2 linked regions of the Oryctolagus cuniculus genome follow. The protein of the gene in region 1 interacts with the protein of each later gene in a biochemical or structural test. Links are inferred from orthologs where the notes say so. Each region holds a gene or a part of one and is shown in the gene's direction. Other genes may lie near its edges.

Region 1 (3,651 bases):
CTGCCTGTAAAACAAACAAACAAACAAAAACTCGCATCCTGGAGTTTAGCAAGACCCCCAGGCAAGTTGTCTTTATTCTGTCCGCTCACTAGGCTAATCCTCCGCCTGCAGCCACCCCGGGTTCTAGTCCTGGTTGGAGCGCCAGATTCTGTCCCGGTTGCTCCTCTTCCAGTCCAGCTCTCTGCTGTGGCCCGGGAGGACAGTGGAGGATGGCCCAAGTGCTTGGGCCCTGCACCCGAATGGGAGACCAGGAGCACCTGGTTCCTGGCTTCGGATCGGCGCAGCACACTGACTGTAGTGGCCATTTGAGGGGTAAACTAAAGGAAGGAAGACCTTTCTCTCTGTCTCTCTCTCACTGTCTAACTCTGGCTGTTAAAAAAAAAAAAAAGATAAAGTGCCTGCTTATGATGTTCATATTCTAATAAAGGGGAAGGGAAAAGTAAAACAAGATAATTTTGGATCATGGTAACTGCATGCTAATAACATGAAGAAATACAATGGGGGAGGGGAGCAGATAGCAACAAGACCTGAGGCGCTGAAACTTGAAAGGTGACAAAGCACCGCATAAAGATCTGAGAAGTGAGTGCCCCAAGCCAAGTGGACAAGGGAGAAGGCTCCCAGGTCAGTGGATGTTGGAGCGGGAGGTGACAGAATGAAGAGAAGGCCTGATGGCTGAAACAACTAGCGTCTGGGCTGTGCATGGCACTAAGGGAAAGGCATGAAGGCGGTCAGGACATTGGCGGCTTTACGGCTTTGGGAAGAAGTTTGGATCATTGAAAGATTTTAAAGGAAGAAAGGAAGTTACCTGATTTAAAGTTCTTATTACCACTCCAGCCGGTGTGTGTGTGAACAGAGTTAAGGAGGATGAGAACAGGAACAAGAAGCCCAGTGGTTTGGACTTGGGTAGGGGTCATGGGGATAGGAATGAGTAGGCTGAGATGTGTTTGAGTCACTGCCATAGAATCGCTGCCAGTTGAGATCTGGGGCTGAGGAACAGATCGATCAAAGAGGGCTTGTGGGTTTGGGGCTGAGCAGTTTGTATAGATGGCAGTGTCGGTTACTGAGATGAGAGTTTGTGGAAACCTAATAGATTAGGTCAGAGAGAGTCACGGTCCTCAGTCTGAGGGACAGAGGAAAACAGGCGTGAATCTGAAGATTTTAAAATCGATAAAGAGTAGTTTTTCAAAAACCACAGGTTTTAATTTAATGTTGCCAGCTACGTTTACAATGTGGATCATTAAGGAGGTGGTTTATGCACTGAGAACAGCAAGCATGGAATTCTAAGCCTAGATGACAGAAGAGTTTCACTTCCCACCTTCGCTGGGCTGTGTGAACCAGACAGGTCAGTCAGGAAAGCATGACAGTTGGGAATTAGCGTTCTGTTCAGCCTTGTCCCTGTGGGAGACAGAGGACTTGGACTCAGTGCAGAAACTCGGATTGGATTATGACTGAAGCTACACTCAGACTGTTAGTAGAAGCTTTCTTGAGAGCTTTGTCTTTGGCTACATCCCATTTCAGTATATTTGTGTCTTGGATGAAGGTACAGAAAGCATATCAATTTGGTGAATGATTTAAAGCTGCAAGGAATATTGAGTATGTCTGATCTGATGGCGGATTAAAAATCAGAAAAGTCTTGACAAGCCGGTGTGATAGGCTGAACTAACAAGATGAAATTTAATAGGGATCAATGTAAGGTCCTGCACTGGAATCCAGATTTTTCCAACTAGTCAAGTACAGGCTGGAAGAAACATGATTTAGCATAGCAGTTCTTGGGGGAGGGGAAACATCTCTAAGTTTGAGGATATCCTTCCAGGGCACTGGATCTGCTTTGAAAGCTAATGCCATTTATATGCTGCAGTGGTAATATCAAGAACTGGGAAAGTGATGCTTGGCCTTGATTATGTAATGGAAATTAAGTTTATTTTTCTTAATATGGCATCCAGGTGTCGCTCCCCCTCTTCGTGGAGGAACGACACTAAACCCTGCCTAGGCTTCATATCCGAGTCATGGCACCATTATGCCGCTCCCCCTCTTCGTGGAGGAACGACACAGGACCCTGCGCTGTTCTTTCGTCTGCTCGGCCCTCCCCGGGTTTGCTGCTGGTTCTTCCCGGGTTGGCTACTGTCCCTTCCACCTCCGTGGAAGGGCAGTTCCCCCTGGCCACATTCCCCACTTCCGCAGGGGAGCGGCACACTGCCAGCCGGCTCTCTCGGGGGCTGCACAGGTGTTCCCCTTAGATGTTCCTGGTGCATGCCGTCTCTCTCCTCCTTTATAGTCCTCCTCCGCCAATCCTAACTCGGCTGCCCACACGCCGAGTACGCTGCTCTCCTCCAATCAGGAGCGAGTCCTACAGTTTATTGGCTGAACTGGAGGCAGCTGTGTAGAAGCTGTTTTCTTCTCTCCCAGCGCCATATTGTGGGAGAGCAGATGCATAGAATAAGTCTTAATTCCAGTAACTCAGTCTAGTCCGGGTTGCTCCCCACATCCAGGAATAAAGATAAGCTAGGAGTCCTTTCACAGATCAATTAGAATGACAGAGATTCAAACCCGTACATTGGAGGAAGGTTAAAGTAACTAGGTTCCTGAGCCAGGAAGAGAGAAGACTTGGTAGATAGCTGTGACTTGGAAAGGGAGTTGGGGATTTTCTGATAGTGCCCAGGACAGAGCCTCAGCCAATGGATGGAATGTATAGGGAGAAAGGACCACTGGAAAAGCAGGGGGCCTGTCTCATCTAAACGCTGTGGTTCTTGGCTGTGTTTTAGATTTGTTGATTGGGATGTGTGGAAATAATTCCTTAATGTCATGGGTGATTGAACCAGATGACCTTTCCAGGACCTCCTAACCTTTACATTCCATGGTTAATCCCTTTCAGCTTCTTCTTTTTGTAACTTCTTTCCTTTTTCTGTGTGCTGGCTTTGTGGCAGCTGAAGAGGAAATCGCCGAGGATCTATGTAGGTTTTGCAGGAATCCGGGTTTCGTAGGTCAGGATCTGTGTACCACACTAGTTGATAAGCTTGTAGAGGGCCTCCCTATTTCGCATAATGATTGATTGTGTCTCTTCATTGTTGTTACCTTCCTAGGTGTCTCTGGGACGAGGATTTAGTGTCACATACCAACTGGTGTCAAAAGTCTGCCCTTTGATGATTTCCAGAAAGCACTGTGTTTTGAAGCAGAATCCTGAGGGCCAGTGGACAATTATGGACAACAAGGTACAGGAAATCACAGAAAGAGGACTAAAGATTTTTAAAATTTTTAATTTATTATTAATTTTTTTTGCATAGATAATTTATGAAGCAAAATGCAAACGGTTTACCTGCTGCCCTCCCACCCCATTCTCTTTCCCAGAGGCAACTACTGCTCTGTTTTGCTAGAGATTAGATGATGCTAAAATAATTTCCCATGACTTAGATTGAAGTTGGTGCCCTTAAAGTGAACATTTGCGTTGGAGGCCGTAGGTCCTATTCCAGAAACTAGATTAAATTGCTGTGGGAATTGACCCTTTTGATGCAAGATCCAGAAACCCTAGAATCTTCTACAGCTTTTGGAGTTCACCAGAGGGAGGAGAAAGAAAGTGAGCTGATTGCATTAAGCTCCTTTCTTTCCCCACTGCTTTAAATCAGAGCAAACTCCCATCCCCCTACTTGACCTGTT
Region 2 (3,198 bases), on another chromosome or scaffold:
TTCTATGTAAAAAGTAGACAATAACAAGAAATAGACTGTTTTGCTTAAAAAAAAAAAACACCCAATATGGGCAAAACTCAATGTTAAGTTTTCTCATAACATCTCAAGGTTAATTAGGTACTAATTATTTCTCTCACTTGTTTGTTGCATTTGTTTAGGATGACTGCTGTGCAGTTATCTTGAAATAAATATTGAGAGAAAGGATGGAACATACCTGGGGTCACTGGAATTACAGGCTAGTGAACAAGACTACACAGTGGAGGTAGGAATGTTGGGTTTCTGCCCTGGCACTGATTGTGTGTGTGTGTGTGTGTGTGTGTAAGTAGTTTTTAATGCTTTTACTATGATTTGTTACAAATTCTGAGCTGCTTTGTATTTGTGGTTCACTTGAATGTTTTACTAAACCAGAGCTGGGCACAGAAGTCCTGGAACAGATTAGACATGATTGTGTTCTTTCCCCTTGTTCATCAGAATCTGGACAAGACACAGCAGCCATGATGGCATAAGAAAGCAAATAAACCTTCCGAACATCCTTGTCAAAGATGTTACATTTTTAATTGAAAAGAATCTTCTAATACCCATGCCCTTGCTGGCTATTCAAACTACTTCTATACTTGACAGCCTACTGCATTTTTTTCTGACTAGTCTCCCTTCTTCATTTCGCCTTTGCTACAGTTTTTTTTTTAACCACATAGCATCCAGGAGTGACCATTACAGAGGGTGCGGGCACTCAGTGGTTACAACAACACTTGGGAACTTGCATCCCATGTTTGTGTGTCTGGCTCTGCTTCTGCTTTTGGCTTCTTGCTAATGTGTGTCTGGGAAGGCAGCAGGTGATGGATGCTCCTCCTCTCTACCCATGCAAGAGACCAGATTGAGTTCCAGGCTCCCAGTTTCAGCCTGGCCAAGCATTGACTGTTGCAGGCATTTGGGGAGTGAAGTAGTGAATAGAAAATCTCTCTCTGCCACTGTCTCTCTATCTTTGTTCTCTGCCTTTTAAATAAATAACTAAATGTAATTTAAGAGAAGTCCATACCAATAAATGTTTTTGTTCTTAGTGACTACCTGTGAGTAAATAGGATGTGGAATGTGTGACAGAGTGTCATGAATAGGGGAGGAAAAAAATCAGAGCCAAAGGACAAAGAATCACCAGGGAAGAAACAATGTCAAGAAAGGGGCAAAAACATGAAAAGGATTTGGGAGGAGAGTTACACTAGAATTTTGTCCTGAGTGGGAATAATTTTATTTTCCAATTTGCAAGATAATGGCACTGTTAACCACTGGTAATGTATACTTCCAAGTACTAGAAATTTTTACTTTTTAAAAGCAGGTTGTTGGGCTGCGTCGGGCTGCAGGAGAAGATGGCGGTCTCCACAGGAGTTAAAGTTCCTCGTAATTTTCGCTTGTTGGAAGAACTTGAAGAAGGACAAAAAGGAGTAGGAGATGGTACGGTTAGCTGGGGCCTTGAAGATGATGAAGATATGACACTTACAAGGTGGACAGGCATGATTATTGGGCCACCAAGGACAAATTATGAGAACAGAATATATAGCCTGAAAGTAGAATGTGGACCTAAATACCCAGAAGCTCCTCCATCAGTTAGATTTGTAACAAAAATTAATATGAATGGGATAAATAATTCCAGTGGAATGGTGGATGCACGGAGCATACCAGTATTAGCAAAATGGCAAAATTCATATAGCATTAAAGTTGTACTTCAAGAGCTAAGACGTCTAATGATGTCCAAAGAAAATATGAAGCTTCCACAGCCACCAGAAGGACAAACATACAACAATTAATTTTAATGGATCTCAAACTTGTCTTAAATCAACAACCTTCTACTCATATTAATGTCTTGATTAAATATCACAATGCAGAATACCCACACATTCAGTAAAGAATTCCAGCTGGTATATGTGACCCGGACATTTGTAATATATTTAATATATGTACACCCATTATGTTTTCAGGTAACGGGAGGAAAAATGCAGCACAATTTTTCTTTCTCTTGTTGAGGCACTGTCATTTAAACATAAACCTGGAGTGCTCCAAGTAGGATTCGGGTTTACAAGACGCAAGCGTGGCGAGACGTGTGAGATGGCAGTGGAAACGTGTGTTTCTGAAAAGTAAAAATCCCAAGAAGGACAAACAGAAATGGCATGCTTTTATCCATCTTGCTTAGTGAAAGAGCTGCAGTTGAAATTGTTTAAAGTAGCAGGTACAATGAATATTGTCACAAATTGTGTTAAATTTTAAAGCGGTGTGGGTGCTGACTACTAGTAGTATAAACATATGTTCAGGATTGTTTTGATACCTGTATTTATAATAAAAAAATGTTGGGGGGGGGTCGATGAATTTCTGTTAAAAGCTGTTCCTGTGTGTTACATGTAACAGACATGGTAAATATTTGTTTACATTCTTTGTTTAACAAACCATGCATTTAAGTTCAAGTGAAGTCAACAAAAAAAGAAAATAGGTGTATGGATATGTGATTTTGAGATTAAAGTTAGTCATAAAATGTAAATAAAATGTGGAAAGTGTCCTCGGGAAAAAAAAAATCAGGTTGTTGATGGTTTTTCTTGGTACCAAATAAATTGAAAAAGAAAGGAAAGCTGTGCATCTGCTAAGAAAAGGTGAAGCAACCGTTGCATAAGGCAATGGAAGCTGTTCAGCACAAGCCTTTCAGGGAAAGATCTGGTGTCTTATAATGTTACAGTTACTATGGTGACAATGCATTTTTAATGACACCATTAAATGGTGGTATAACTACTTGTAACCAAGGAGTGCTGAATACTCACAGCTGTGTTGTTTTGAGTTTATGTGACTTTTCTCCAGGATGGTTTTTAATGACTTCAAAATAAAAGTGTTCTATAACAGAACAGTACTTTGGTGTATAAAATATGTACATTTTAGAAACAGAAAGGACCTTAGAGGGCCTTAGAGGACGTTAATTCTCCCCATCTCACCATACACATTCACACACAGAGAATGAAAACTCCTACATGTTTATACTTTATAGATGAAAATCTAGAGGCAAAGATTATGTTGTTTTTTATCATATCATTTCACTGGTGACAGAATTAAGATAGCAGGTTTTCTGACTCCTAGAATAATTTCTTTCCACCATAACATGTGGTATCTTCCCCCAAACAACATGACACATAAAATATTAAATATTCTTTTCACACATCAAAGTTA

Evidence for each region.
Region 2: the proteins of RNF8 (region 1) and ubiquitin-conjugating enzyme E2 variant 2 form a complex in vitro, tested with the Homo sapiens proteins (2 studies listed by BioGRID). The link is inferred for Oryctolagus cuniculus from reciprocal best matches to the Homo sapiens genes RNF8 and UBE2V2.

The regions. Positions count from the first base shown.
Region 1 is NC_091436.1:132,279,669-132,283,319, reverse strand, and holds part of RNF8 (E3 ubiquitin-protein ligase RNF8), read left to right. Parts: intron 1-3,080; coding exon 3,081-3,209; intron 3,210-3,651. UniProt on the Homo sapiens protein: E3 ubiquitin-protein ligase that plays a key role in DNA damage signaling via 2 distinct roles: by mediating the 'Lys-63'-linked ubiquitination of histones H2A and H2AX and promoting the recruitment of DNA repair proteins at double-strand breaks (DSBs) sites, and by catalyzing 'Lys-48'-linked ubiquitination to remove target proteins from DNA damage sites.
Region 2 is NC_091441.1:59,364,214-59,367,411, reverse strand, and holds ubiquitin-conjugating enzyme E2 variant 2, read left to right. Parts: upstream 1-1,321; 5' UTR 1,322-1,361; coding exon 1,362-1,799; 3' UTR 1,800-2,558; downstream 2,559-3,198. UniProt on the Homo sapiens protein: Has no ubiquitin ligase activity on its own. The UBE2V2/UBE2N heterodimer catalyzes the synthesis of non-canonical poly-ubiquitin chains that are linked through 'Lys-63'. This type of poly-ubiquitination does not lead to protein degradation by the proteasome.